Linked DNA regions of Alligator mississippiensis. The protein of the gene in region 2 purifies or fractionates together with the protein of the main gene of each other region. This does not show direct contact. Links are inferred from orthologs where the notes say so. Each region holds a gene or a part of one and is shown on either strand. Other genes may lie near its edges. The genes, in order: EHMT2, CHD4, ZFHX3 and ZNF512B.

What was found.
Region 1: the proteins of CHD4 (region 2) and EHMT2 purify together in Homo sapiens (affinity purification with western blotting; 3 studies listed by BioGRID and IntAct, with this or other methods). This does not show direct contact. The link is inferred for Alligator mississippiensis from reciprocal best matches to the Homo sapiens genes CHD4 and EHMT2.
Region 3: the proteins of CHD4 (region 2) and ZFHX3 purify together in Homo sapiens (affinity purification with mass spectrometry, with the first as the bait; 3 studies listed by BioGRID). This does not show direct contact. The link is inferred for Alligator mississippiensis from reciprocal best matches to the Homo sapiens genes CHD4 and ZFHX3.
Region 4: the proteins of CHD4 (region 2) and ZNF512B purify together in Homo sapiens (affinity purification with mass spectrometry; 4 studies listed by BioGRID and IntAct, with this or other methods). This does not show direct contact. The link is inferred for Alligator mississippiensis from reciprocal best matches to the Homo sapiens genes CHD4 and ZNF512B.

What each region holds. Positions count from the first base shown.
Region 1 is NC_081834.1:62,582,778-62,590,289, forward strand, and holds the start of EHMT2 (histone-lysine N-methyltransferase EHMT2), read left to right. Parts: upstream 1-4,504; 5' UTR 4,505-4,561; coding exon 4,562-4,570; intron 4,571-4,748; coding exon 4,749-4,797; intron 4,798-4,881; coding exon 4,882-5,061; intron 5,062-5,229; coding exon 5,230-5,495; intron 5,496-5,759; coding exon 5,760-5,832; intron 5,833-5,951; coding exon 5,952-6,037; intron 6,038-6,336; coding exon 6,337-6,486; intron 6,487-6,603; coding exon 6,604-6,741; intron 6,742-7,228; coding exon 7,229-7,340; intron 7,341-7,512. Other genes in the region: ZBTB12 (zinc finger and BTB domain-containing protein 12), read left to right, coding at 1,505-3,214. UniProt on the Homo sapiens protein: Histone methyltransferase that specifically mono- and dimethylates 'Lys-9' of histone H3 (H3K9me1 and H3K9me2, respectively) in euchromatin.
Region 2 is NC_081824.1:243,465,208-243,473,047, reverse strand, and holds the start of CHD4 (chromodomain-helicase-DNA-binding protein 4), read left to right. Parts: upstream 1-4,835; 5' UTR 4,836-4,936; intron 4,937-5,601; 5' UTR 5,602-5,676; coding exon 5,677-5,773; intron 5,774-7,840. UniProt on the Homo sapiens protein: ATP-dependent chromatin-remodeling factor that binds and distorts nucleosomal DNA. Acts as a component of the histone deacetylase NuRD complex which participates in the remodeling of chromatin.
Region 3 is NC_081833.1:76,505,276-76,513,119, reverse strand, and holds the start of ZFHX3 (zinc finger homeobox protein 3), read right to left. Parts: upstream 3,009-7,844; 5' UTR 2,931-3,008; intron 1-2,930. Other genes in the region: PSMD7 (26S proteasome non-ATPase regulatory subunit 7), read left to right, coding at 3,413-3,486, 5,208-5,299, 6,505-6,597.
Region 4 is NC_081832.1:2,817,276-2,824,999, forward strand, and holds the start of ZNF512B (zinc finger protein 512B), read right to left. Parts: upstream 3,005-7,724; 5' UTR 1,428-3,004; coding exon 1,382-1,427; exon of another isoform or gene 1-1,381. UniProt on the Homo sapiens protein: Involved in transcriptional regulation by repressing gene expression. Associates with the nucleosome remodeling and histone deacetylase (NuRD) complex, which promotes transcriptional repression by histone deacetylation and nucleosome remodeling.

The DNA.
Region 1 (7,512 bases), on a different chromosome or scaffold from region 2:
CCACAATGCACCGGGGCAGCCCCGCCCCCACTTCCCACGCTGCTTTCAGGCCAACACAAAGCCTCTTCCCACAATGCACCACGCAGCCCCCCCTCAACCCGCCCCCCGCCCCCTTAAGACCCCCCCTCTCCCTTGTGTCCAATTTCTATCCGGCGGACAAATAACCGCCCCCCCTTGGTGGGCGCCCTGTCCCTTTAAGGGGCCCCGGCCTCGCTCGGCCCCTTTAATTCGCTCGCTCCGGAGCTGCCTCCCGGTTCGCAGAGGCGGGGGGAACCCGGCCCCCCCACGCGCCCGGTCAGGGGGGGCTGCGGCGGAGGGGGGCGTATAGGGGGAGGGGCTGGGGGGTATGCAATAGAGGGAGGGGCTAGGGGGGTGGTCGTGCCATGGGGGGAGGGGCTGGGGGGGTCCATGCAGTGGGGTGGAGGGGCTCCATGCAGCAAGGGGGAGGAGCAGGGGGTCCCACAATGGGGGGACATGCAATGGGGAGTGGCTGGGGGGGTCCACGCAGTGAAGGGGAGGGCTGGGACAGGGGTCCGTGCAGTAGGGGGCAGGGATGGGGGGGGTCTGTGTAGCGAGGGGGAGGGGCTGGGGTCATCCATGCAATGGGGCAGGGGCTGGGGGCTCCAGCTATTGACCCCCACCTTTCTCTTGCAGCTTCATCAGGTGCACCCCACTGTCGGCCACCTGGAGCTCTCCCAGCTGCCTGCACCCCCCTGCTTGGCCCCTCCTGGGCCCCCCCACCCCCATCTTCCCCAGTGCGTCCCAAACCCCATCTCCACTCTCCTGGCTCCCCCATTCCCTTCCAGCCCTGCCCCCGTCTCTGCCCCTCTCCTTCCCCCCCAGCCCCAACTCCTTCACCCATTTCTTGCCCCTGACTCCCCCACCCTTCCAAGCCCCCCCAAAACCCCTGTCTCAGCCCCCCAGGCCCTTCCAAGCCGCTCCAGCTCCCCCCAAACCCCCCACTTCCCCACAACCTGCCATCTTAGCTCCCCCAGAGCCCCTATCTCAACCCCCCCAGGCCCCTCCAGCTTTTTCCAACAGTGCCCGCACTCATCCAGCCCCCCGAACCCCTATCTCCTGCCCCCCAAGACCACCCACCTGTCCCCAGACATCTCCAAGCCCCCCAAACCCCTATCTCAGCCCCCCAGACTCCTCCCCAAGACCACCCAGCCTGCCCCAGAGCCCCTCAAGCCACTCCAGCTGCCCCCAACCCCCCCAGCCACTTCTGAACCCCCCTCAGACACATCCAAGCCCCCCCGTTTCTTTCCCCTAGACAGGCCTCTAGACACCCCCAAGCCGCTCGAGCTCGCCCACTCTCAACCCTCCCAGGTTCCCCCAAATCCCTATCTGCACTCATCCAGAGCCCTCGGGTCCCCATAGCAACCCCATCTCAGTCCCTCACCTCCCCAGGTCCATCCAACCCCCCATCTCGGCCCCTCCAAAGCCCCTGGGTCCCCCCAGCATCCCCACCCCGGCCCCCCAGGCCCCGTCTCTGGGCGCAACAATGGCATCGGGGCCGGAGCTGCTGCGCTTCCAGCTGCCAGGCCACGAGGCAGCCACGCTGCGCAACATGAACCAGCTGCGGGCCGAGGAGCGGTTCTGCGACGTGACCATCGTGGCCGAGAGCCTCAAGTTCCGGGGGCACAAGGTGATCCTGGCAGCCTGCTCACCCTTCCTGCGCGACCAGTTCCTGCTCAACCCCAGCTCCGAGCTGCAGGTCTCGCTGGTCCACAGCGCCCGCATTGTGGCCGACCTGCTGCTTTCCTGCTACACGGGTGCCCTGGAGTTTGCCGTCCGCGATGTAGTCAACTACCTGACGGCTGCCAGTTACCTGCAGATGGAACATGTGGTGGAAAAGTGCCGCAATGCCTTGTCCCAGTTCATTGAGCCCCGCATCGGCCTTAAGGAGGACAAGCCAGGGGCAGGCGGGGGCCCGCGCCCAGCCCCCTTGCGCCACACCAAACCGGCCCCCCGCAAGCCTCGCCCACCTGTCAAGCTGGAGCTGCGCCTGGCCGAGGAGCCTGAGCCCAAGGATGAGGACGATGATGACGAGGAGGATGACGGGGATGAGGATGCCGTGTCCGACATCTGCATTGTCAAGGTGGAGTCAGCCTATGAGGTGGCCCAGCGCCACCGCAAGCAGCACCTGCTGCAGCCTGCCTGGGCCAAGGATGGGGCAGCAGGGGCCAGCTGGGTCAAGGACGGGTCTTCTACCGCCAACTGGGTCAAGGATGGGTCTTCCACAGGCAGCTGGGCCAAGGATGGGTTGTCGCCAAGCAACTGGACAAAGGAGGGGTCATCGGCGGCCAACTGGACAAAGGAGGGGACATCGGCAGCCAACTGGGTCAAAGAGGGGTCAGCCATGGCCAACTGGAGCAAAGAAGGGTCTTCCATGGCCAACTGGGCGAAGGAGGGGTCATCGCCAGGTAACTGGGCAAAAGAGGGGTCGTCGCCGGGCAACTGGAGCAAAGAGAGGTCATCACCGTCCAACTGGGCCAAGGAAGGGTCGTCGCCGGGGACGTGGGCCAAGGAAGGGTCGTCGCCAGGGACGTGGGCCAAGGAGGGGTCGTCACCAGGGGCGTGGGCCAAGGAGGGCAGCTGGGCCAAGGAGGGCCCCGGTGACGGCGAGGGTGAGGACCCGGGCCCCGAGGCGGCCGGGCCAGCACCAGGTGAGCCAGGCAAGGCGGTGCCAGGTGTGGTGAAAGCCCGCTATGCCCTGGCAGAGGACACGGAGGGCGAGGGGCTCCTGCTGCTGCCCCCGGGGGCCTACCTGGAGCCCGGGCCACCCAGCGGGGGTGGGCACGGGGCCGGGGGTGCGGGCGGGGGGCCGGCGCGCTGTGCCAAGTGTGGCGAGGCCTTCCAAGGGGTGGAGAAGCTGGTGTTCCACATGCGGGCCCAGCACTTTGTCTTCATGTGCCCGCGCTGCGGGAAGCAGTTCAACCACAGCAGTAACCTCAACCGGCACATGAACGTGCACCGCGGCGTCAAGTCCCACTCGTGCGGTGTCTGCGGCAAGAGCTTCACACAGAAGTCCACGCTGCACGACCACCTCAACCTGCACAGCGGCCTGCGGCCCTACCGCTGCTCCTACTGCGACGTGCGCTTCGCTCACAAACCCGCCATCCGCCGCCACCTCAAGGAGCAGCATGGCAAGACTACGGCCGAGAACGTGCTGGAAGCCAGCGTGGCCGAGATCAACGTGCTCGTCCGCTGAGCCAGGGCTGGGTGGGGTGTGGGGGGCCCAGGGGCCTGGAGAACCCAGGTGTCCAGGGTCCAGATCCCGTAGCAGGTAGAGATCACAGGCATCGGGTGCCTGGACCCTGCTGTGGGTGGAGAACCCACACATCCAGGTGTCCAGATCCCATAGCAAGTAGAGAACCCAGGTGTCCGGATCCCATAGCAGGTAGAGAACCCAGGTGTCCGGGTGCCTGGACCCCACTGAGGGTGGAGAGCCCGGGTGTCCGGGGTCCGGATCCCGTAGCAGGTAGAAAATCCGGGTGCCTGGATGGCATGGCAGTGCAGAACCCACAGCAGACAGAGGACCCAAGTATCCAGGTGCCCGGACCCGCCATGGGAAGAGAACCCAGGTGTCCAGACCTCATAGCAGATACAGCAGGGGTTCCCAACCCCCGGTCCACAGCCCGGTGCTAGGATGGGACGGGCTGGCTGCCGGACCAGAAGTGATTGCGGACCGGCAAACTGCGGACTGGAAATGATGGGGATCCTGCAGACTGGCAGCCAACCCTTCCCTACGCGGAGTAGAAACAAGGGTTGGGGTTGGTCCGCAGTTTGCCGGTCCACGGTCGCTTGCCGGCCCTCAGCATAAGAAGGCTGGGAACCCTGCGACGGAGAACCGGGCGTCCGGTGCATGGGTGAGACCCCCGGTGCCCAGGTCCCGTAGCAGGTCGAGATCCCAGGGTCCCGACTCCCCGGCGGAAGGAGGCACCAGGCGTGCAGGAGTCTGGCCCCTGGGTAGTGCAGGTCCCGCGGCTGGAGAGGACTGGGGGGGGGGGGGGTGAAGCGGAGTTGAGGGTGTAATGGGGGGGCCCGGACGCCTGGGGTCTCCGGAGGGGGGGCGAGTTGCCATCAACCAAAGAATAACCACGTGAGCCCGCGGAGGGGCGGGGCCTGGGGGCTCCGGTAGCAGTAGCAGTAGTAAGAGGTATTACCCCGTGGTAGGCGGGGCTAGATGGGGCGGGGCCTAGACCCTGCTGGGGTGGGGGGCGGGCCTGGGCCCGGGGGGCGGGGCCATAGAGGATTAACCGTTTTTAGACTTTTTAACTTTTTTTTTAATTAAAATAATTCAAAAGGAAATAAAATTTGAGACGTTTTTATTGGGGGGGAGGCGGGGCCCGGCCGCTTGGGTGGTCTGCGGGGGCGGGGCCGGGCGCGGACGACCGGGGAGGGGGGGGCCCGGCACCACGTGGACCCGAACAATGGGCCGGGGGGGCGGGGCTCCGGGCGGGGCCGCGGCGCCTTTAAGGCTCCCGCTCGCCGTGACGTCAGCGTCGTGACGTGTCGCCGTCGCTCCACCCCCACCCCCAGCTCTGCAGCCGCAGCCATGGAGGCGGTGAGCGCGGGGAGCCGGCGGGGAGCGGGAGCCCGGGGGGGCGCGAGCCCGGGGGGGGTGGGAGCACCCGGCGGCCGGGCGCGGGGGGGGGGGGGACCCGGGCGTCCGGGCCGGGCGGCGAGGAGCCGGGACGCCGGGGTCCCGGCGGGGCTGGCGGTTGACCCACCCCCGCCCCCAGGAGCAGCTGCCGGAGGCGCTGGAGGCCGCCGCAGACGCAGGGGACGCAGGTGAGATGGGGGCACAGCCCCCCGCCCCCACTCCTCCTCCCAGCCCCCAGCCCCTCCCCCTACTCATCTCCCCCCCCCCCCCAGGGCAGCCCCCCATGGGCCAGGGCCCCCCCCCAGAGCCCTCCGCCCTCCTCTGCCCTGCCGAGGCAGGGGCCAGTGGGGACGAGGTGGCACCGAGGACCCAGGTGTCTGGGAGCAACAAAGAGCCCGAGGCTGAGAGCAGCCCCGCAGCCGGCGCCAGCCCCGGGGGCAGGGGGCTGCCAGGTGAGGGGCTGCGGGTCGGGGGTCGGGAGTGGGGGGCGCCGGCAGGGCTGGGGGCCGGGGCTGCGGGTCGGGAGTGGGGGGCACCGGTAGGGCTGGAGAGGGAAGGGAGCCAACTCCTGGGGACACCTGGGTCCTTGGCCCCATTCTCACTCCCTTCCCCCCCGGTAGGCCACGCTGCCAAGACCCTGCCGTCACCGCCAGTGGGGCCCGGGGGGCCCCCGAGCCGGGCCAAGATGTCACTGACCGGGGCAGGGAAGTCGCCCCCCTCGGTGCAGAGCTTGGCCATGCGGTTGCTAAGCCTGCCGGGTGCTGGCCCTGCCCCCAGCATGGGCCCCGCCCCTGCTGAGGCCCCGCCTTTGGCACCCCCAAGCCCGGAGCCCAAGCCCAAGGTGCACCGGGCCCGCAAGACCATGGCCAAGCCCGGCAACGGACAGGTGGGTGCCAAAATGCCTGGGTTTCCTCTGGAGGTGGGGGTCCCTTTGCCACATGGGTTCCTTCCCTAGCCTGTTCTTTGTGGGTGGGGGGGTCTCCCAGATGCCTGGGCTCTTCCCAGGGGTTCTGCGGTGGGATGGGGGGCAGGGGTCCCAGATGCATGTGTCCCATTTGTGGGATACATTTGGCTGGGTGTGGGGGGCAAGGGCTGGCAGAGGTTGGGGGGTGCCCCAGATGCTTGGGTCCCAGCCTGCTGCCCCCCCCAGGTGCCAGAGAAGCGCGTCTCCGAGATGCTGCACTTCCGCGTCTCCGACGATCTCCGTAGCATCGAGGAGCCAGGTATCTGGGTTGCGGGTCGGGAATGAGGGGTACTAGTGGGGCTGGGGGGGCTGCAGGTTGGAAGTGAGGGACACCGTGAGAGTGGCTGCCACCTCCCTCATGCCTTTGTATCCCCCCAGAACCCGCCAAGCGCCGGAAACTGGACTACGGCCCTGAGTCCCTGCACAAGCGCCTGCCGCCCACCTTGCCCCGTGCCAGCACTGAGGTACCTGCCCCATATGCCTGGGTCCCCTGAACCCTGTCCCCAGGCACCTGGTTGCCTTCCCTTCCACTGCATCCTGGACACCTGGGTTACCTACTCCTGACCCCACCGCTGCAATGTCTGGATCCTTTTTCCCTTGATTTTTCCCCTTCTTTCCTCATAGACACCTGGGTTTCCTTCTTCTGACACCCTCCCCTTGCACCTGAGCTCCCTACCTGGGAGCTCTCCCTCTTGGGCGCCTGGGTCCCCGTCCAGCTGGGAGCCTGGGCCGAGCTCTGACCCCCCCGCCCATTGCCCCCCAGATCACGGTGACGGAGGAGATGGCAGCACGGCCATTGGGGCCAGCGGGCGAGGATCGGGGCCCCGATGAGTGGGAGGCCGAGGTGGGAGCCGACTTCAGCCTCTTCTACGACAGCTACTCAGTGGATGGGCACAATGACTCGGACAGCAAGGTGGGGGCGCGGGGGCTGGGCTGGGCATAACAGGGACAGGAGCTGTGGATGGCTCTGGGGGACGGTGTCAGGCTAGGCCTGGACACCTGGATTCACCATGCTGGGCCCCACCCGCAGTCAGAGGCGGATGGGGCTGGGGAGCAGTTGAGTGAAGAGGAGGAGGAGGAGGAAGAGGAGGACGAGGAAGAGGAAGAGGAGGAAGACGATGAGGACGACGATGATGAGGATGAAGAGTCCGGGAACACCTCAGATAGGGTGAGGCCCTGGTGGGGTCGAGGTCACCAGGGGTGGAGCGGTGTACTCCAGAGCTGAGGCTGGATGGGGTCAGAGATAGGGAGGAGGGGCCTGGGGAGTGGGCTCAAGGGCTTAGATTGCGTGTGGATATGGGGTCAGAGGTCAGGCCTGAGCTCAGCAAAGGTCAGGGCTCAGAGTCTGGGGTGCATGGCCTGTGAGGGTGGGAGTCAAAGGCCTAGCATGGGAGCTTGGGTGTGCAGAGGTCAGAGACCACAGCTGAGGGTTTGGTTTGTGGAGTGTTGGAGACTTAAGGGGAGAGCGTGGCTGGGGTCACAGGGCACAGGTCAGGATGGGGTGGGCATTGGAGGTGGGGGAACTTCAGGGATTATGAGAGGGCCTGGGGGCTGTGGGTTGGGTGTGAGGGGCTTGGGGAGGGCAGGGGGCTGTGGACTGGGAGTGAGGGGCACCAGCAGGGCTGGGGGGTTGCCTCACCTGACCTGCCCCCCAGAGCGCATCAAGCACCAAGCGGAAGGCGCGGAAGCGCTGGAAGAGCGACAGCCCCTGGGTGAAGCCGTCACGCAAACGCAAGCGCAAGGACCCCCGCCCCAAGGACCCCCGAGGTGGGGGGGAGGGTTCTGGGTGTTCTGGGGAATGTTAGGAGGGGACTGGGGAGGGGGAGGATCCTAGGGGGGTTCTGGGTGCAGTGCCCCTGGCAGGGGATTTGGGGGGGGTCTCAGGATGGGAAAGTCAGATGCTGGGGGGCCCCCAAGAACTCAAATATCCCTCCTCTCC
Region 2 (7,840 bases):
TTGATACTCATTCTTTATTTCTCACTTAATTTGAAAATAACCCCCCTGCGTTAAATAACATTAAAATGTAGCCACATCTAGATGGCATTAGCAAGCACAAGACAGAGAACAGGGTGAAGACAGGATAGAGAAATACTAGTATACTAAGGTGAAACCTGTCTTTATTTGATGGCCAGTATCCAGTAAAAGCGGATAGGACTTTGAGGTTCAGACTCTTGACAGAAAAAGCTGCAGGTAGAGTATCTCTTGTGGAGCCTGGAGAGAGAAGGCACAGGGAGATCCCAAGCATGGAGGAGGACCTCAGTTAAACTCTGTAGCCAGGGATTTTAAATACACACAAAAATCTAAGGCAGTGGTTCTCAACCATGTTAGATTCAAGGTACCCCTCAGAAAATACCAGCTTAGTTTTCACTCATTTTTTGACTACAGAAAAGTAATAGAGCTATTCTTCTGTTGCAAAAAATGAAGCCACAACAGCTCTGACCACAACTGGTCAGAATGTTGTTGACACTATGGATTCCTATTTGAAATCTCGGAGTTTACCTTGTGAATCATGTTTTCACACCTAACATTGTGTGGCATCCCTTGGCAGCCTTGAAAGGATTTGAAGCACCCCAGGGTGTTGCAGCACCCTGATTGGGAATCATTCTTTTAAAACAATTATTTGAATAGAGGCCCTGCCATGGGTAACCATGGGGATACACAGACTACTTCCCCCAATGTCAGTCTTTGAGGGGGAAAGTATTATGGGGTAAATGGAGAACTGTGTGGCTGTTTCAAAAATGTACTCACCCTTTCTCCAAACTAATCACAGCCTTGATGAAGCAGGTTATTACTGGATTTTGCTGAACAGAACAATGTTAAAATGGAGTTAAGTATAAATCAATTTAATCTGATCTGGCTCTACAATGTTCCTTCATCATAAATGTTTACTTTAGCCTGTTGTCTCTACAGTGAAAAAACTTTGAGCCATGAAGAATAAAAACTGAGGTGGGGAATTACCATTCATTACAAAAATATAAACCATACTAATGTTTTGAATTCAGAATAATGAAAGATTTCAGTGAATGTTAGCTAAATGGAAAATGTGTGGAAAATGGAAATATTTTACCCATGAATTTGTTGTATATCTGTTTGATTTACATTATACCAGAGTAGCACACAGCCCACTCCAGGTCAAAGCCCCTAAGAGGGAGATTGTTACAAAGTATACATGAAACCAACTCTGGTAACTGGCTTTATTCAACCTCTGCCAGAATGTTACTTTTTAACTTGTTGATCACACCCCTAGAAGCTAAGATCTTATGGGTATATCTGGAATTCTATAATAACTAACTGTGCAGAGGGCTGGCCTGCCTGTTTACCATGGAGTTACACAGATCTCTTCAACAAATCACAACCTTAATAGAGAGTATTATGTGAAGTCAGTAGGTAAATGAGGGAATGAAAAACATTGTTGATGTCTGTGTATAAAATGTAGGGAATGGATGCTGCTGTTATTAGAAGATGTACGTATCTATACTTGATGACAGTATCACATATATTTATGTATAGAATGGAAGATGCATAGTATTCATGTTAATAATAAGTCTTAGTGCTTATACAACAGCTTTAATCTGTAGATCCTTAGATAAAGAATAATATTATTATCACTATGCAAGGGAGAAAACAGTGAGGTGAAGACCTGTGCTGTACGTGTATATTGATTACACAGATGAATAGAGTGTCATGGGACTTATATATGTACAAGAAGAAGGTGAACAGTGTAATAGTATTTGGGGTGTAAAATCAAGTTTGGGTAATAATATAAGAAGGATGTGCACGGAACTGGCTGAGATGGATCACGTAAGGGAATTTGTTCTTATAGTTACAGGATGTTGGAGCATATAATGGGTGCAATTAAGTATAATCAAAGATGGATAATACTATCAAATGTACATGCTAACAACGAAGGTCCTATTATAGAATGTCCATATATATATATATAGTGAAAGGTTTGCTAGCCTGATGGGATGTCCACGCATATAGTGGCAGGAAAGAGACAGTGGTAGGGAAAATCTGTGCATATAATGTGTGTATAGGTAGTATTATGTGATGTGTGGGATGAAGAACAGTTTGTACTGCAGTGTGGCAGTGTGTGTAACATGAAGGCCTTCAGCAGTATCCTGAGGATTCATGTGCTTCAGATACAGTATGGGTAAAATTGTGGGACATTTGTGCACGTAATGGGGGAGGAGGAAGGATGAATAGCATGATGTAATGGAGGATGGGTAACATTATGCAATGACCATGTATGTAACGAGTAGGATGGACAATATGGAATGTCTGCCTCAATAACTGGGAGTTGTGGAATGTCCTGGTAAACTGGAGCGGTTAATATTATGGGACATCAATAAGTACAATGAAGATCTGATATATTTAATGGGATGTCACTTTGTATGATGAGGGATTAATTATATTGTACGAAAGTATGTATTATTGGGTTATTTGTATTTTTATGGAATGCCCATGTCATTATAAAGTGATGATTAGTATGACTAGTAAGGAAAGGACAATGCTATGAAGCGTCTAATAAAAGATATCACATCTGCCCAAAGAACCTTGTCTGCTTATGTCCTTAGACCAGCACGGCTACAACCAAAAACCGAAAACTCTAAAGTGTCTCAAGCCTATAAACAGGAAAAATGTCTGTGTGTAATTGGGATATGGGGAGTTTTATGAGTGCCACTGTTTATAATGGAAGGATGCCTTGTATTATGGGCTGTGTGTGCCTGACCTGGGATAAATATTCTTAGAGCATTTACATGTATAAAATAAAGTGATTAGAGTTGGGATTGCATTCTGGGAAATCTGTGTGCACTGTGAAGGGGAAGTAGGGTGTTCTGCATATACTGGGAGGGATAAGTAAGTAGCATGCCAGTATGTACCATGGGATAACAGAAGGAAGGGAAGAATTACAATACGAGATGTTTGTATAGGGAATGAAAGGTGTGAACAGTAATATGGGATGTCCGTAACAACAAACATGCATGTGCGCGTGCACACACATACACACAGAAGCACTCGATGAATGCTGGAGTGTACAAGGAACAAGAAATGCTATCATGGGCAGTCTGTGTGTATACTGGGAGGAAGCAGGATACCATTATGGCACAGCCATGTTTCTAGCATGATGGGATGCTCGTGTCTGTGGCCAGGAGCAGCTAGCATAATGGGAGAGGGTATTTTTGTTCATTTGTTTGTTTTTAATTTATAGCCGAGGCCAAATTAACCAAAACTAATTCCAGATCCAAGAGTCCAGAACCATCAGTGGCTCTACTCCACCCACACTTCGGGCTTCAGATGTTTCCAAATCCTTTGGTAGGCATCCTACTTGCAGGCCCAAGCCTGGAGAGTTGGGGTTTGGATGTCCCTGAGTTTTGCCTGCCTTTAGCCAGAAGGCCCTTGGTTGCAAGGGAGGAGACTCCCATTTCCATAAAGTGGGCTTAAAGCCACTGCACCTCAGCAGGTACTGAACCACGCCAGAAGAGCAGTTCTCCCGGGGTGTGGTTCAGGAAAACTGCCTTCATGGACACAGATATATGATATTTCCCCTGCCAGGTTAAGAAGCCACTACACTTGTCCTGAGCCATGAAGAGGCTAGCACAATGGGACATGAGGTTGGTAGTGGTTCACAGGCACAGCTCTGCACCATGGGCTGCCATGCCTTGTGGGTGCAGTGCTGGATGCTGGACTCCCTTTGAAGAGTGGGTGAGCTGATGACTGTGAGACGTGTGCCTGGAGGTCAGCTAGCATGGGCTCGCTGCCTGGGTGCGTGTTGGAGGGGCGCTGAGCACTCTGGGGTATGTGGAGTCTGCATCATCTGGAGGCATAAAGAATCCTGGCAGGCTATGCCAGAGTATTATGGGCTGCAGGCTGGCCCCGTGCCCCCAGTGGTTACTATGCTCCACATACAAAGGCGGGGAGGGGGCCTGGAAGTGAGCGGTCAGGGGTACAAGGAGGTTGGTGGGCAGTGGAGGGGCCCAAGTACCGTGGGCTGTTAGCTGGCACCCTGCTCAGCCTGGTCCGCCTGCATGGAGGGGGGACATATGAATGCGATTATTATGGGCTGCTTGGCTGGAGTGAGGGAGCGGGCAGTGAGTGCGAGTATTGTGGGTTGTGGCTAAGAGTTGCTGAGAGTATTATGGGATGCCGGGCTGGACCGTGGCTCCCGGCTACTATTATGGGATGGCTGGCTGAACGCAGCATGGGTGGGGGAGGAGGTGGAGAAGGTGACTATTATGGGATACATATCAGGGGGCATGACTATTATGGGATGTTATGGGGCTATTGTGGCACCTGGTAGTAGGGGGCTTGAAGAGGGGGCAGGGCTTATTATGGGATGCCAGGCCAGGCAGTGACAGGATACCTCCGTGAGGGGGCGGGGGGTTACCGCAGGATGTGTAGGTGGGGGGGAGGAACTATTATGGGTTGGTGGGGGGTGGAGGTGGAGGTCTGTGGGGGGGAGAGTGTGGAGGTTATTATGGGATGTCTCGGGGAGGGAGGGTGAGGGTGAGGCAGGGGGCATTATCGTGGGTTGGTGCAAAGGAGTATTATGGGATGTTGGAGTGAAGGGGTTAGAGTGTGGGGAGTATATTATGGGATGTTTCTCCGAGGAAGGGTTCTATTATGGGATGTTCCTGATGGAAAGGGGGGGAGTTGATTATTATGGGATGCAAGGCCGGGCAAGTGAGTGGGGAGTTCTGAGTGGAGGGTAAATATTATGGGATGTCTGGTTGCCCGGGTGACAGGGGCGGGGCTCGTTGCCGAGGTGCCGGAGCATATTATGGGATGGAGGTGAGAGTAGGCGGGGCCTGGCTGGGGTTTTTTTCCCCCCTTTAAGAGGCGGCACCGGGGCAGGAGCCATTTTCCCTTCAGCGGCGGCGAGTGGGACTGGGTGAGGAGCCGGGAGAAGACGCGGCCGGGGGGGTGGCAGGGGGTGCCGCCCCGGGTCCCTCGCGTGCCCGCCCGGCGCCCCGTGGGGCCCCGCGCCCGGCCCAGCCTGCACGGGGCGCACCTGCCGCCCGGCCCCGGCCCCACCGCGACGCGGCACCCGAGCGCCTCCTGCCCCGCCCGCCCCCGCCGGCCTGGACGCGGCCTTTGTTGTCCCCCGGCCACGCCGCGCCGGCCGCTAGGGGCAGCCCCGGGGGCGGGGCCGGGGCCAGGGCCGGGCGGGGGAGCCCCCTGGGCCGGCGCGGCACGGCGTGGTCGGGGACTGGAGGCGTGGGCCGGGCCTGCCGACTGGCGCGGCTGCTGCCCCGGGCCCCTGGCGCTGGCCCCGGCCCAGGCCGCCTTCTCGTCGACAGGCAGAGCCGGCCCTGGCAGGCAGGCGTGCGCCCGCCGGCCCCAGGCGTCCCCTCCGGGCCGTGGCGCGGCTCCCGCCAGGCAGGACTCTGCTGCTCGGCTTCGTTGCCGGGGGAGGATGGGGGCTGGTACCCGCGCGCAGCCGCCCCCTTCCCAGTTCTCCAGTCCGCTCCCCACGTGCTGCGGGGGGGCAATCCCTTCTCTGCAGGGTGGGTCTCCTGCCGGCTGCTGTAACTTACTTTCCTTCTCCCTTTTCAGGAAGCTGACGGGCAGGAGGAAGGAGACAAGGCTGCACGAGCTGTGTAAGCCCTGGTGTCCCTGCTTTGGGAAGACATGGCATCAGGCATTGGTCCGCTGTCACCCTGCTCTGCTGGTAGCGATGATGATGAGATGGAGATCCTGCTGAACAACAGTATTCCTCAGCATCCAGGTATGGATAGCACTGTCAGGATCTCTGCTGCGGCAAGCTGTGGCTCTCTTCTGTCTTGGTCAAGTCAGTGGTGCTGTGGGAGACAGTGGCAGGAGAAACTTGTATTGTTCGGAGGATTTCGCGTCTGATTGGAATATTTGGGCCTTAATGGTTGTTTTTAAGAGCGGCTGGTCCTGCAGTTCAGTGAGGTGAAGTTTCTCATTGCAAGCTGTTGCTGGTGGGTGGGAACATGTACCCTGATGGAGCCACCCACCGCCTCTAGAAGGTGCACACTTCATGGCTGGCGGGAGGATTCTGCGTTGGGGCAGGGTGTCGGGTTTGCACTTCTTCACTTGGGAGCTTAGACCTGCTAGCGTCCAGAGCAAACTGCCCTGGGCTATTGCATGACCCAGTTTCTTTACCCACCACACCCTGTTCTCTCAGCTTCTCCTGGATCCTGCTCTGCTGCTCCCCTTAGCCCTCTCTTTGTTGCAGTAGACGTACTGACTGCAGTGTGGTTGTAGGATGCAATCCTCTGGTGTATTAACCTGCAGTCCCTGTATCTGCCTCTTCTTTGTAAACGTAGTCCACGTGCCTCACACAGAGACTGAGAGCTAAAGAGACTGGGATTTATAACTGCTACTTCATTCCCAGCATTGTTACTGTATAGATCTCTACCTCTTCTCTCAACCTGTAAAACAAGGATGAATGTGTATCCTGGAGTAGTGGGTTGTAAAACATGAGCCTGAATTTGCTTCTGAACTGCCTTTTCACGCCATAGGTGAAAGGTGGCAGCAAAGTCTTGTCAACAGAATGCCATGGTATGGCTTATTATGGCCAGTTTGTTTTTGGGGTCCTCCTAGTAGCTGCAGAGCTCTGGAGAAATCTCGAGGGACTGGGTGAGAGTGAAGCAATGGAAAGAAGCTGAAAAATGGTGTTCCAGCATCTCCTCCTGAAGAGGGTATCTGTGAGCCTAGGAAAAGGAAGCCTTGTTAGGGTCGGGGCCAGGCCCCTCATTGGTTAAGTCACTGGGAAGTTAAGAAGCTTGGGCAATGTACTAAATGGTGTAGGGACATCAGACAGTTCTAAATCAGAACTTGCTGGAGGGGTAGATTATGGAGCCCACACTTGTGGGTAGGATTCAGTAAATGTTGCTGGATGAAGGCATACTTATGTCAATTAGAAATGTGGCAAGAATACTCTCTCTGCCCAAAGATACAGGATCCCAGGCTGAGCACTTCCTTTCTCTCTTGTCCTTTGGTTGTTGTGACTTGTGGCTTCCCCCATCTGGCTTAGCTCCTGTGGTCAGGAGGCCATTTTCCCTTGGAGGGAGAGCGAGTGACTCTGTAATGGGCGGGGCGGCAGGGGAAGGCGAATGGTTGGACTGCTATGGATCTTGTCACAAAGGAAAAAGCTGTCTGGCTGTCCATGCTCCTCTGGGCTTTGTGTGGGGGGAGGGGGAACAGATGGGAGTGTGTGGGGGAGCTGGCAATGCATTACAGTGATGAGGGATTGAGCTTGCTGACTTGTGCTTGAAGAAGGGTTTGTGGATCCTGTTGCACTGGATTTCAGCGAGTTTGCCCTAAGCAGCAACTATGCAGGTGGGAGAGAGGCAAGCAGCAGATGACAGTTTTGATCTTTGCTTGCCATTGCAGGGTCTCTTGTGCTGAAAACATTTTTATGGGAGATCTTGGGATGGAGCCCATGCTCTGATTCCAGCCTAGCTGGTCCTTGGACTTTCTGCTGTGTTGTAGTCTGTCTATCCCAAAGACCAAGGTGTGGCTCCCTCTCTCTCTTCCTTTTCCCTCCCCCCACTTTTCTCCTGTGCCACTTTGCTGGCCACATCTGCAGGACTCGGCAGCCCACTTGCTCAATCTTTGCTATGTCTGCTGAGCTAAAGAACTTTCTAATCCTCAAATATTTCATGTGGCTCTGCTCAGAAAAGTGTCACTGAGACAAAAAGAGGGGATGGATAGTGATTTTTTGCGGGGGCGGGGGGGATGATAAGGAGGGAACACAGGGTGTATTGGAGCTATTACTCTCTTATTCAGTGTGGCATAATCTGACTAGCCAGACTTGTTTCGAATG
Region 3 (7,844 bases), on a different chromosome or scaffold from region 2:
CTTCAGTTTGATTATCAATAGCCTGAATTAAGGACAGGCTGCAAATTCATTTTGTTAAGGGTATTAGAACTAGTGTAGGTAGATTTTGCTTGACAGTTAATTTCTAAAGAAGAAAAAATATAATAGATTTTTTTTTCTTATGAGAAGCTGGACAGCAAAGTAAATCTTGGTGATTAAAACACAGGGATGGAAGAAATCTGGATTTTATTTCCAGTTCTGCTACAGATTTCCTGTATGACCTTGGGCAAATAACGTCTCTATACCTCAGCTTTCCCCTTTTATAAAATGGGAATAAGAATACTAATTTACCTTGCAGTGGGGCCATGTGGTTTAATTAACAAATATCTTAGATGGCCTTGAGACTCTTAACCAGAATACTGTCAGCACCAAATATTATTAGTAATTATAATTTTATTATTATGTCACCAGAAAAAAGCCTCTCCAGCCATTCATAGGCGATGTCTACAAAAGGAATATGAATAATTTTCATTAAGCATCAGATAGAAAATATGCAACTGTCAAATGATGTCTAACATGTACAGCCCTGTTTGTTCTGTGACTTTACAGCTATAGCATTTCATTCATGATAAAAAAGCATAGGAAGGACAATAACACAGGAGCTTGTGCAAATATAGACACTTTCCCTGTGACCTAAGCTGAGAGCAGTCACTGGAAAGACCAACCGCAGGTGAAAGTAAAAATTAATAAAAATATTAAGTAATACAATCTCAGGGGAAAAAGGGCTGGAAAGGACCTCAAAAGGGCCCCATAGCCAATCTTTGCTCAAGTAAAAATCTTCCCTTTCTAGATTATTCCAATAAAAGACTGCTCTTGAAAACTTCCAATGGCAGAAAATCCACTCTCTCTAGAGGTTATCTATTCCAGTGCTTAACTCCCCCATAATAGTAAAGTTTATCCTAAGAGCCAACCTAAATCTCCTGTTTCAGTATTGAGCTTATGTGTTTATTTCAATTGATGAAATTCAATACATGACTTCACCACTTCCTAAGAGTAATTAGTACAGGTGCACCAATACATCAGTCGCATAGTGGATCGGCACCGATAACAGGAAAATTAACATTATGGGCAATCAGGTTTTTTTGGCCAATAATGTCACCGCTAAATGCTGTGTGCAGCATCCAGCCAATAAGTCTGTGGGAGGATGGGGTGTGGGGCAGGGAGGGAATGGGACAGGGCGTGGGACACTAGTCGAGGGGGCACTGGGGGGGCAGCTCTCCACCTCTGTGTGCACCCCCAGAGTAGGCATGGAGGGCACGTGCCCGCTGGATTTGTGCACTGGACAAGGGCAGGCTGCCCACTGTGGGCTCAGGGCCAGGGGCTACACTGACCTCTTCCCAGTGAGGGGAGGGGGAGAAGATAGCCGGGGCTGCACTGGGGGCGGCAGAGGTGGGGAGGGCTCAGCTGCATGGGGCAGGCAGCAGCACTGGGAGGGGCGGCCCTGGAGGAGGCTTGGGGTCTACGGCCATCCCAAAGCCTCCCCTCCCAACATAACCCCCCCCCATAGCCACCCCTCCCAGCACCACCACCGCCCACCCCATGCAGCTGAACCCCCCCAACCCTGTGCAGCCAAAGCCCCCCGCTGGGAAGAGACTGGCACAGACCCTGGCCCAAACAGCAGCGGGCAGCCCGCTCCCACCCCACACACAAATCCAGGGGTGGGGGGGGGCACATGCCCCCATACCTACCCTGGGGCTGCATGAAGTGGTGGGGAACTGCCCCCCTCCCCATCCTCCTGGATGAGTGGCCCATGCCCTGCCCCGGGGTCCCATTCACCGCCCTGGCTGTGCAGCGCCTGCCCCTGCCCCTGCCCCACTCCCTCCTTCGCTGCAATCTGCCCCTTCCCCTCCCCCCCGGCCTCCCTGGCAGAGCACTGCTGTGCAAGCTGCCCGCTGCATTCCTGTAAATCAGCTATTGGATCGGTATCGGCTGGCACAGCTGGTTAATAATCGGCCGTCGGTATCAGCCAAGAAAATCGTTATTGGTACATCAGTGCAACACTTGAATGCTCATCTTGCTGGGGCGATCTGACCCCAGCTGACTTCCTACGCCTCGGGCAAAGGGCTAGACCCGGCGCTCTCACGAGGCCCCTTTCAGCCCCGACAGCTACGAAATCTACCCTGAGTGATTACTTAACTCTAATACAGCACTTCGAAAGTGTATAATGCTGCATGAGGTAATCGATCGTTAATATAATAGTTGTCAATTGCTCACGACTGTATAAACACGGGGTTTTTTTTCATTTTGTGTCCTGGGCCAAACCGGCCAGATGAGTTTTAAATTCTGTGTGTCAGCTGAGCAGAGGTCAGTCGTCGAGCGGGCAAGCCTCCCACCTCCCGGGCCAGCAGCCATCGCAGAGGACAGTCCCGTTTCCTGCTGCCCTGTCCTCTACCGATACGAAACCAGATGCCTTTCTGTCCTCTAGTCTTCTCTTCAAGAGAAAAATAGCGGGCGTAAAGGCGTCCAGTTGGGTGGGTTTTCCCCAGCAGAATGGCAGAGTTTCAAGAGAATAACCCACGGCTTCAGGAGAAAAATAGCAGACCTAAAGGCATCCGGTTTGGTATCAGCAGACGGCGACAGGACTGTCCTCTACGATGGCCAACCCCCCCGGACGCTTCCGCCTGGGGCGTCGCGGACTCCCAAACCCGCGGCGGGCATCCGACACGCCAGCCCCGAGCGCGGAGGCGTTAGTCTTCAGGTGAGGAAAGCCCAGGAGTAATCCCCCGTCCCCGCAAAGGCGAGACCTCGCGTGAGAGGCACCACAGACACCTGAAGGGGACCCGACGGCATTCGAGGGCATCTCCCCTCCCACCTCGGTGAAACCGCCTCAGCCAAAATCGTCGTCGCAGCATCACACTTGCTAGGTAAGTACAGGGTAATTAGCCTCGTGTTATGGCAGTATTTCCTCACACCTGGTCGGGTCGGGGGAGGCGGGACACCTCCGGGCTCCCCCCGCCACCTCAGGAGGGGCGAGGCTCACAGGCCTCACTGACCTTCTCAAGATGGCGGCGCAGGCCGAGGCTCCACGGCGCCGACTTACAAGATGGCGGCGGGGCTCCCTCGCAACGGCTGTTGTGCCCTTCCCAAGATGGCGCCTCGCTTCCATCCTTTCTTTGACCTCTCCAACATGGCGCCGGCTCGCCTTTCCTCCCTCCCCAGCATGGCGTCCATTCGCCCTCCCCAACATGGCGCTTCAACTCCTCCCTTCTTTTGACCTCTCCAAGATGGCGCCCTCTTCCCCGTTCCCACCCCGCCTCCCCAAGATGGCGTCGCGCTGTCTCCGCCCCGGCGCGGTGCAGGCTGGGAGTGTGCTGAGGGGAGCTGGGCCTAGCCTTGCGCGGGCACCGACGGGCGGGCGGACAGACGCGGCGGAGCGGGCCGAGCAGGGGGCGCGATGCCGGAGCTGGCCGTGGACCGGGTGGTGGTACACCCGCTGGTGCTGCTCAGCGTGGTGGATCACTTCAACAGGTGAGGCCGGGCCCCGGCGCGGCCGCTGAGTCACGGGCCCGGCCTGCTCCCTCCGCGGGCCCAGGCAGGCCGGGCCTGAGGGCAGCCGGGGTGGGGTGCTGCCCTCGTGGGGTGCTGCAGCCCCTGCGCTCGCCCGGCCACAAGAGGGTGCCCAAGGGCGCTGGGCCCCACGGAGCGCCGCATCGGTGTGCGCCCGGACCCGGCGCAGGGCTCCAACCCCCCCCTGGACACTTGGACACGACCCTCGTCTCGCTGCTCCTCGCACGGACAACCACGTCTGAGGCTCCGTGCGCCTCATACCCGAGCGCTCGGCCCCGTAGGTGCGCGTAGAAACTCCGCGCCAGGCTCGCCACGCTGGATTTCCCCGATCGGTTGCTTTCATGAAAAATAAGTGGTCTAACTTTGAGGGTTTTTCAGCCTTTCTTCATTTGCAGACCCCTAAAAAAGTTCCCACGGAGGCGCAGCCCCCCTTGAATTGTAAGCGTGGGTATTCACGTGCTTTTAATTGATCGTGGTCTTCATTCGCCGACCCCCGTAGACGTAACCTGCGGGTCCCTGCGGCGCACAGGGTGGAAACCGCTGGGCAGTGGCCGCCCATACGTGCGGTTTTGGTCCCGGATTATGCACGCAGATGACTTTGCGTTTTGTGCGAGTGCAGATTTGGGACCAAATATCACCTTAGCACACGGTCCCTGCGGTAGGAACCGCGTGCACGGGCGTCCCGTTTAGCTCAAGACTAGCGGGGTAGTTTCTTATGGCAAAGTAAGACGCAGCTGTAATAGTCTTCACGGTAGACGAAGGGCTGGGACAGCCAGTCCGTTAAATGGGATGGTGGACGTGGAGTCAGCGGTGCCAGCGCGGCGTAGCAGGGACTGCTTACATGGTTTGTTACAGGGTGCGACGCTGGGAATCGAGCGAGTTACAACCACAACGGTTCTTGCTCGTGTGAAAGCAAAAGCTATTGTCAAATAGATTCGATTTGTTCTTCTCGAACAGGAAGAGTTAAAATAATGTTCAAATATTGTGAAATTGCTAACGAGTTATAAATACCGTTTTATTAGGTACAACTGACTGACTTTAAAAGAATCGTTTTTCAGCATATTGAAAATGTGGCACTTTTCATCTGTCTGGTCTATACAAATTTTATGCTTAAAGCTACAATTTGCACGGCAGAGAATAAAATTATATTCCTCTAAACGTCTAGTGCAATTTGTGCTCAGTGTGCCTAAATTAACTTAATTGCACCAACTGACAAGTACTTCTGATGTTAAAAAAACCCAAAAAACACCCCTCTCTCCCCTTCAAGGCAACATACAGCAACAGAAAAACATACCGTTATAAAAATATATGATGGATGATACTGAATAATTTGAAAGTTGACTCAGTTTTTACAATCTGCTGTTCTGGAGAGATGCAGTAGTTGCCTTCTATTCACTTCCACCACTTGCATCCATTAGCTGCGCGGACGCGTCCGTGCGTTTGATCCATGAGTGATTACATTATAAGATTAGAGCTTTGGTTTAAAGCTCATGGTAATGACTTCTTTAGGTGTAAGCAATGCAGAACAAGTATTTCCTTCTCGACTTCCGGTCTCTCCACACCCGTGCTGTTTTTTCCAATTTTAAAACTGAGATGGTGGAATGAATTAGTTTGGTCCACTGGTGTTTCTTTTGCGTTTGAGACGTTCTCCATAATTCAAACTGACAGCCTTTTCTTTTTAGAATAGGAAAGGTTGGGAATCAGAAGCGAGTTGTCGGTGTGTTGCTGGGCTCTTGGCAGAAGAAAATATTAGACGTGTCCAACAGTTTTGCAGGTGAGTGTGTGACCTGTCCTGTTCACAGCCCATCAGTCTACCGGCTATACCGACTCTTAGATGCTGGTTTGAGGTGGACCACAAGACTTCTTGCCATTTATCAAGTCAAAAAGCTGGTATTTACCTTGCCACAAAGAATACTAATTACCTGCTTACAAAACAGTCCCTTTTCCAGTTAGTCTGGTTCTACATCTTTTCCCCAGCAGTATCCAGTGCACAACACTTCAGAAGCAGCTCTACTTCACGTTCGTGCTGGAGGTTTCTTTTTTACCCTAAACAAGTGTTTATTTTGTAACTTGAGTTGTACCCCAGCAGGTGCTATTTTAGATGAGATGCTATATATTTATAGGAAGATCCAATATTGTGTTTAAAGTTCAGCTCTTTTCCTCAAGCAGTGCCCAGTGAGAGTTCAACAAGCTAATTACATTTGGCCTGTAAGGATACTGTTACATTTTGTTTAAATTGTAGCTGTATTTAAAAGCTACAATTTAAGAGCAAGAATGATGAGTGGTTGATTAGCTCAGTTGGTTAGGTGGTGCTAATAATGCCAGTCACAGGTTCAGTCCCCCTGTGGGACACAAGACCTGTCTTACTTCAGGCAGGGGGTTGGACTCGATGACCTCTTGAGGTCCCTCCCAGCCGTACTTCTCCGATTTCTATGTTTAATAGACTTCATAGGAGTCTAGCTTGTTCATCTTAATTCACCTTATACAGAAGACTACCTTTTACATTATACAAACTTCTGATCCAGCGAGCTATCATGTTCTGTTAAGATCTTGAATTTGCTTTATCAGAAGTCCTTTCCCACCAATATTGAGTCAGTTACTCCAATATGAATTGTTTCATTTACTACCAAACACTTTGTTGCCCACCCAAAGAAACTGACAAGTTGCCTTGCTTTTACTTGCGTCATCTTGTTGCCTTGCTTTTTTTTTTTTCTGTTGCCTTGCTTTTACTTGTGTCATCAAGTGATTCTGTAATTATCAGAAAACCTTTCTGTGAGAGAATCTGTTAACGTTGCCGTTCAGTTTTATAGCAGTTTGTGCAGCCCAATAGAGCAGAGTGGTTGAACTCTGTCAATTCAAAATAAATTATTTTTCCCCGTTGGCATGTAAGGACTTGTGAAACAAATTTTACTTTTTTTCTATGGAAGCATTCAGACTAAAATTTGAACTACTAAATATTGAGCTCTGTTTTGTTTCCAGTTCCCTTTGATGAGGATGATAAAGATGACAGTGTTTGGTTTCTAGACCATGATTACCTGGAGAACATGTATGGAATGTTTAAAAAAGTCAATGGTAAGTGCAGCTTTTCACGGGAGTGGCTATTTTCCTAAAACCTGTCATGGATAAGTTAGTGCAGGATAAGTTGTGGTGCAGATAAAGACACAATACGCTATTCCACACTACTTCCTCATGCGGACACGTTATTCTGTACTGTGAGTGCCTTTCCGGGATTAACCTAAACCACACTCAGCCCTCTGTGCAGAACGTTCATATAGAGAATTAATGCAGAAAAGTATTCCTTTTAAATTCACACTACTTCTTACCCACTTCCACATATAGGCAAATCCTAAGTCTTCTGATATGTCATAGGTCTTGGAAATAAAGAGCTAACGCTTCCTGGGGATTAAACAGCTATCACAGAAATTCATAACTATGTTGTGACCCCTTCCATACTGGTGTGCTACGGTCTCTTTTCCTTCTTATGAGGGGACATTTGAATTACAAATTCAGATTTGAATTGATAAGCCATTTATGCTAATTGATCTTACAAAGAGGCTCATTCTTTTCTTACGACACTGGGGGCCAAACTTTTTGGCAGGCATGCCAACATTAAGCCCTGCACCCTTCCTACATGCCACTCCAATCCCTTCCCCTGCCCAATCTGCTGCTCTGTTTTCTGCTCCCTACCCAGTCTGCCGCTGTGCTACCTGCCATCTCCTCTATCTGTTGTGTGCCAGTGCCATTGGTTGGCCATCCCTGCTTTATGAGATTATCAGGGCTAGTTAAATATGGAGAGGCTACAGTATAGGTAATGTGGAACTGGACTCACTGGCAGGGAGGTCGCTTCCAGCCCTACATTTCTAGAGCTGATATATAAGGGTGAATGTAGAGTCTATGCCTTGGCAATAAACCAGCCAAAAACATGACACACTTTTCTCTGGGAGACTGTCCTTTGAGACAGCTCAGAAGCTTTGACAAGAGCAGAATGTGACTGCTCATGTGATTAAGAAAGGAATGTCAAGGTGTTGATTGTAACAAGACACCATCATGATTTGGACCATCACTGTCATAGAAGTGGCTACTTCTGTACATGCTGTCAGGATACTGAGTTCAGGTGACGCCCTTCTGCCAAAGTCCACCTTTTGCCAACTTAAATAAAGGTTGCTCTCTCTGGAAGGTGTTCCAGAGCCTGAGTTCACTGACCAAGATGCATGTTATTACTAAAGCTTCTCCTGATGGAGTGCTGTGGAGTTAATTCAGGGGAGTGCACAAAGGAAGTGAGTGTGCTGTTCATTAGCAGAGCCCTGCATTTCATTTAT
Region 4 (7,724 bases), on a different chromosome or scaffold from region 2:
CCCATGGCCTTGACAGGCTGGCACATCCATCCTGCAGGAACATGGCGCTTCGGTGACTTGCCCGACAACATCCGACGAGTCGGTGCCAGCCTGGGACACAGAATCCCATGTTCCAGCCCTGTACATCCTGCAGCTTGCAAGGACACAGGAACGCGCTGCCAACTTCCACTTTTTAGGGGTGTTAAAAGAACTTAACGATATGCAAGAAGTGAACAAGAAGAACAGCAGAAACGGAGGCAGCCTGGAGACCCCGGGGCCCCTCGTGGCACATCTGCCGGCCACATCTGCTCAGAAATAAAGAACATGCATAGCGCAACTAACCTCCCAACGCGCCCTGCGCCTCCACGCGTTAGATACAGACAACGAAGCACAGCGTGTTTGGAAAGACTGGGTGCTAGTTAATGCGACTAGACTCCAGAACCAGGACGGTGCCAGACGTCCCGAAATCAGGCACGAGCTGTCCCCCCGTTTTGTCCCAGTTCCATTTCCTCTCCTGGTGCCAGTCCTTGCCTGGGTTATGATCCCACCGGGCAGTTTTCTGAAGAGGACCAGAGGCTCCCTTATCTTGCACCTCTGAAATCAATGGGAATTTCCCCACTGGCTTCAGCAGAGACAGATGACGACCAGCAGTGTTGGGCTCTGACGCGCGGGTGGGATAAGGGCAGCGGGCAGAGCCTGACCTGGCTGGCTCTACAGCCAACCACATCTTGCAGCGTGGCTTGGAGGCCGTTTATAGCCCCTGAGCCTGCCTAGCCACATCCTTGCTTGTCGCCGAGCCCTGATGCACGGAGCCACTTCCTCGGAGCTGAAGCAGGGGCAGGGTGTTGTTGTTCATCCCCTCTCCGACAGCAACCGTCTCCTTCTAGCAGAGGTGTTGCAATTCCCACCCTCCGCAGACCCTCCCCACTCCTCAGCCCCCGTGGCTTTATCGGTACCCAGCCACTTCCTCTCTCAGCCCCCGGCAGCAACCTGCACGGACGGGGCAGGCTCTAGCCGGGGGGCACACGACTGCAACGATTCCTTCTGGCCTGAAGGTCTACAGCTTCCTGCTAGCTCACGTGCAACTTGGTAAGTGCACCCTTTTGCTCAAGCAGTGTGTTGAGGCCTGGCGAGATCACTGCCATTCTGCTCTTTGCCAAACCACTTCACCCTCAAAGCCACGGATTAGACTCAACACCCAAACCTCCAACAACGTTGCTGCTTCTGCTTCCATCTGCCCGAAACCCAGTCAAAAAGAACCAGAAAAAGCCCATCCCTGCTCATTCAGCAAGCCCCCTGCGGGTCAGCAAGCCCCTCTCTGGAGGGTGGGCTGTTGGACAAGCTGCAAAGCACTTAAGAGCCTGGATATCTGATCCTACAAGGTGTGCAGGCATCAACTCACGCATGCTTTTGATGTCCAGGGCATCGCTCCTCACACGGGGACACATGGAATTGGAAGAAGCCGAGAGTCCTTAATGGGACTCTCTATGTGGCCAAGGACAGTGCATTGGGCTTGAAAGCCAGCCACGTTGGGGACACCGGGTAATGCTCCGAGACTCTCCCGCTTGCAATTTTGGTACTGAAAGATTAGTCATCTTCCCAGACACCAGGGTTAGTCATCCTCCGATCGAGTGAGACATCCCAGTCTCGTCTCCACCTTCTCGGGTGCCTGGAGCTCAGCAGAGGCACCGTGACTTCCACCAGCTGAGCTTCTTGGTGTGCTTCTTTGAGCTTTATCTACGATTTGATCCCAGCAGCAGGTGGAGGCAGCCCTGGTGTGCAAGGCACTGCACAAATATATAGCATCCGACAGTCCTCACCCCACTAACTTAGATCTTCCAGGCTAGGAGACAAGAAGGAGAAAGGGCAGGGCATGATTGTGTACAAGCAACACACGAGTCTCCCATCGAACAATTATTTATCGAGTTATCCCTATCAGAGACTCATGGACAATGAGGGTGGGAAGGGACCTCAGGGGGTCACATCTAGTCCAACCCCCTGCTCCAAACAGGACCAGCCCCAGCTGCATCGTCCCAGCCCCTGAATGGGCTTGGATCCACAGACGGTGCCCAGACACCCTGCGTGGGATCTGTTTGGCCTGCTCACTTGGAGCAGTGTCGAGTCCCTTTGTCTGTGCACCCAGCTCCCCCGGCGTCACACCTGGTCCCTCGCTGAGCAAGCACAAGCCCGAGAGCCCCAACCTAGAGCCAACGCTATCAATAAACTCCCTTTCCTCCAATGTTTCTTACTGTGTGCTGCACCCCTTTGGGGCCGGCCGAGATGACCTCACGAGGTCCCTTGCAGCCCTACTTTCCTATATCCCTTGAACACACCTCGCAGTGCAGTCATCCTTAGAAAGCAAATGCAAAGGAGGGGGTAAACCAAGATGAGGAAGAAAATCAGGGTTGGGTTTTTTGTGTTGATGTGACAGAATACCGAAGGAAACCACTGAGGTATGTGCTCACTGCAACTTCATCCCCAACCTGGGATATTGCTTACATAGATCTGCTTTGGAATTTAATTTCCTTGGCTACATACACACAGGCAGACGGGGAGACAGACAGAACAGCACGGCACCGAAATAAAGACTTAACGCAAGAAAACCTGACATGGCTGGTCTCAGCCGTGAACACAAGACGGTGTAACAATTCAAAGCACTTCCCAGAGCAGTACAGTTCAGGTGTGTTACTGAATACTGATGCCATGTTTTAATTAGACATGTACTACACCAGTGGATCTCAACCTATAGTCCTCAGACCCCTGCGGGGGGTCTGCAGGCTATGTCTAAGGGGTCTGGAAAAGGTGACTACGATGAAGCAAAAGTAGGTGAATATGCACGCTGACAACTCAAAGGGGTCTGGCACCTCTATTAGAAATTTTTTAGGAGCCCACACATGAAAAAAGGTAGAAAAAACCACAGTGCTAGACCATAAAACCTCGGTGTTGATGGCAGAAATGTGCATGCTTTGATCATTTAGAATTAAGAGCTTATTATTTACTTGACAGACTGCAACGTTTCCCTTGCAACTGGTGCACGGGGGCCAGCGTGGTCCAGTGCTTAGAACAGGGGCCTGGGAGTCGGGGCTTCCCCGGCTGTCACAGACGCTCTGCGTGAACACGGCTCGCTGTGCGACACGCTGGGGAAGCTTCATGTGACGGGGGCTAAGCAAGGCTCAGGAAGGAGGAGGAGAGAGGAGCTGGGCTGAGCACAGAAGCAGGACGAACCCCCACTCTTACTCTATACCTGTTTCAGGATCGTGACCCCACCTGGCAAAAATCCCAGGAAGGACTCTCCATATATTAGCTCCAGCCGGGCTAAAGCTGCAATGAAATGGCCTGACCCCAGGCTGAGGATGCATGTCCCAGGCCCTGGAAGAAGCAGGTCACTCCAAACACATGAAGCAGCCTACAAAACTCCTGACACACGACCAAATCCCACAGTAAAACCAGGCCTAAGACACTGCCATGCTTAACTGAACTCCTAATTAGATGACAAATTACAGCAGAGGAGCTTTGGGCCAGGAGATATGCTGGCACCTGGAAAAACTTCGCATCCAAAAGCTACGCTGCGTGTCTTCAATGAAAAACGACCCTGAACACCGAACAATCGCGGCTCCTTCCATTCAACGCACCCCTCGCAGCCAACCCTGCCCTGCAGCTCTGTAACTCTCGCAGATTTTATTTCCTCCCCAGCTGCTTCTTTAAAAGCTTTGCCCTTCTCTTTAATTTAGCTTAAAATCCCAGCTAATATACCGTTTATGCAGGGCAAAAAATCTGCTCCCAACCCCACCGTGGCTTTTAGTGTGCTCACCCCAGAGCAACAGAGCAGAAACCAGCCCGGCATATCCAAACGTCTCCCTTTTATTTCCCCGCGCACACTAGATCAAGACGATTGATGACTTCCAACCTCTCTCCTCTGCTTCCTTAAGGGTGGGTTGAAAGCCAGTTTCAATTTACAATAGCAAAACAAAAATCCCCCCTGCCCAGCAGCCCCTAAATACAGTCGTGCTGGGACGTGGCATGTTAATGACATCTGAGATCGATTCAGGTGTTCCCACAAGGCGCAGAAAAGCGGGTCAGGCCTGTGATTAAGTGACACCTCACCGGTCTGCTACAGGGAAGCCCGAATTCAAGCATCTGGTCCTAGCCTGCCAGAAGCAACAGGCAGAACCAGCGCATTTTAACCGATTAATCCTTGAACTCGCCCCCCTCCGCCCTTTGGCCAACACGAGGACCAGGCGCGTCGATACGAGGTAAGCCCCCAAATGCAGAGTCCAATGAGAAGTTATTACAACGCAGAAGCCAAACGTGGGAGCAAGGAGGGAGACACGTGAGACAACACAACCTACATACACACTTCAAATTTGTTCTCATGGAAAAACGCCTGGCCTCGATGCTCTCGCTCGACAGCACGAAGCGGGATACGGAGAACAGGCCGCACTGTCATGCAGTCCCTTTGGGGTCAAGTTCATCTTGGGATAAGCTGGCATGAGTCCCATCGATGTGCAATGTATTCTACAGAGGCAAAGCTCATATCGCAGTTACTTAATTGTTCTGGGCAATGTCTCCCCTGCATCGTAAGCAGACCTACCACTGGAAGTTGCAAGGCTTCTTGGCCAGCTTCCTGGGTCCTGGTGGCCAAGACCCAGAGATTGGTATTCCAAGGAAGCCGTCGGGAAGCCTTAAAAATCTCCATCGGACAAGACGCATCAGAGGGAAAATTGTGCAGAAAAGCCTCTGCTCACCGCTAAATGCCTCCGGTCAAATGAATGAAGTTGCAGCCATTTATACCTGAGTTTGGTCCCTTCAATCTCGGCCCGTGGTTATCTGCGTGGATGCCATCAGCCACTAACTGCTGGGATCTAAGAGTCCCCAGTACATCTGTAGGACTGGAAAGAGGGGGAAAAAAGAGGCCTGCAGGTCCTTAATACGGTCCACTCCCCCTGCCCTTCCCGGGTGAAGTGCCAACCACATCGTTAAGAACATGCCTAATGTAGAACAGGCTGAGACCTCGGCAATTTCCTTCACTTAGGATGAATAATTTATGAGCTGCTGCAAATGTTCCCCGTGTTGCTCCGTGCCAAAAAGAGCCCCGAGCTGCAGAACTTGCGAGCCGACAGCAGGAGGGCGCAGGCCGGGCGCACGTGGACAGAGGGACGCAGCTGAGAGCAGCCGCGGGAGCCTCTGGATTTACCTGGCTCTCGTTAGCGCCAGAGGCCTGACGTTCACTCCGGAGCACAGCCTTTCTTCTGGCCCAGGGCAAGGCTCACGGGCCTGGACCTGCGTCGTTCCTGTTTCGCAGTCCTTTCCGCCCATCTCCCCCAAATCATGCGCCGATCTGCCGTTCGGTAACTTTCTTAGAGCCTCCCCTCTCTCTGCGAGCTGCGCGCCCCTCCGTTTTCCGCAAAACACCGCGCTTGAGGGACTCATTTCCTTCCTTCTTCAGCAGCACCGTTGCAAACGCACCCACCAAAAAGCCCCGTTGGCTTAGGAAGGGCTGGAAGTTTCTCCATGTCTCCTCGTGAGCTGTCCGAGCAGGGACCGAATGTGTCCTCGAGCGGGCGGGAAATCTGCCCAAGTTCCTTCGCAGAGGACATCTCTGGGTGCGTGGGAAGCCCAGGGTGCTTTACAGTTTCTGCTCTAGCAACTCTTGCCGCCCCCCTGCAGCCACGAAGCAGTGGCAGAGAGAGCATGTAGGCACCCAGAGGTGACGAGCGGCGATAACCCCAGGGCATGCACAGCCCTGGCCGGCGCACAGTGAACGGGTCTCGCAGAGACGCCCCTTCCCTGGCCTGGAGGGTACACGCCGCCCCGACCCCCAGGGACAGCCTGGGTCTAGTGACGGTGGAGCTGCCACGGCCTGACGCTGCCTCCAGCTGGCGGCCCGGTCTCGCCTGCCCCGCCCCGGGCTGGAATCACACGGGAGCTCCCAACTGAATGCGCCCCACCTGCGTGTCCCCACCGCGCAGCCCCACTTGGAGGTCACCTACCCGCCCTGACCCTACCTGGACATCCCTCCTGCATGTCCCCCCACCCACCTGGGTGCATCCCGCCCACCTGCACGTCCCCCACCCACCTGGGTGTGTCCATCCTGTACATCCCCTACTCACCCACCCCACCTGGGTGTATCCATCCTGTACATCCCCTACTCACCCACCCCACCTGGGTGTATCCATCCTGTACATCCCCTACTCACCCACCCCACCTGGGTGTATCCATCCTGTACATCCCCTACTCACCCACCCCACCTGGGTGTATCCATCCTGTACATCCCCTACTCACCCACCCCACCTGGGCGCATCCGTCCTGTATGTCCCCTACTCACCCACCCCACCTGGGTGCATCCGTCCTGTACATCCCCTACTCACCCACCCCACCTGGGTGCATCCCACCCACCTGCACGTCCCCCATACACCTGGGTGTATCCATCCTGCATGTCCCCTACTCACCCACCCCACCTGGGCGCATCCCGCCCACCTGCACGTCCCCCATACACCTGGGCGCATCCGACCTGCACGTCCCCTATTTACCCGCCCCACCTGGGCGCATCCCACCCACCTGCACGTCCCCCATACACCTGGGCGCATCCGACCTGCACGTCCCCTATTTACCCGCCCCACCTGGGCGCATCCCGCCCACCTGCACGTCCCCCATACACCTGGGCGCATCCGACCTGCACGTCCCCTACTCACCCGCCCACCTGGGCGCATCCCGCCCACCTGCACGTCCCCCATACACCTGGGCGCATCCGACCTGCACGTCCCCTACTCACCCGCCCACCTGGGCGCATCCCACGCAGCCCGCCCCACCTGCCCCGGCCCCACCTGCGCGTGCTCCCGCGCCCGGCCGCGTCCCGGCCCCACCGCCGGCCGGCCCTGGCGCTCCGTGCGGCCGTGCCGTGCTCGCCGCCCCGTCCGTGCCGGGCCGTGCCGTGCCGGGCCGTGCCGTGGGGCCGCGGGGCCGGGAGGGGAAAAGCAGTGAAGCAAAATGGCGACTTTTCGATGCAGCGGCAGGAGAGGCAGCGGCAGCGGCAGCGGGAGCGGGAGGGAGGGAGGGAGGGAGCGGCGGCGGGGGAGGCCGGGCGGCGGCCGGTGCTTACCTCGGTGCTGGGCGGACGGGCACGCGCCGCCCCGCGCCGCCCCGCACCCGCACCCGCACCGCACACACGCAGCGCCTCCCCCCCGGCTCCGCCGCCTCTGCCAGTTTTGCAGCCGGGAAAGAAGAGGTTGGAAAAAGCAACTTGCAACTCTCGCGTTATTCCTTCCCCGCCGGCCCGTGCCCGCGCCCGCACCCCGATAACCCCCTCCCCGCAGCGCCCGGCAGCGTGTCCCGCTCCGCCTTCCCCAGCTCCCCCGCGCCCGGGACAGCGGGCACGCGAGCGTCCAGCCGCCCCGCGGTGGCCCTCGCCCGGCTCTGGACGGGCAGGGCCCCGAAGGCAGCGTGCCTCGGTTTCCCCGTGTGCATCCCACGGGCTAGTGCAAAGCGGAGCCGGGTGTGACTGCCCGTGGCTAGAAACGGCGGCAGGTTTGATCCAGGCGTGCCAAGAGCGCCCTTGCGAGGGTGGCACAGCGTCCCACTCGCGCCACCCATGCAGTGCCTTTATTACCGCCACCCACGCACGGGTTGCACTCCCCTCTCCGGGACGTGGCAATGCCTCCCCGTTCGAGGGCACTGTGCACTAGCGTCGGCTTGGCCCAGGTAAAGGACCCGAGGCCCAGAGAAGCACGGCCACTACACGGGTAAAA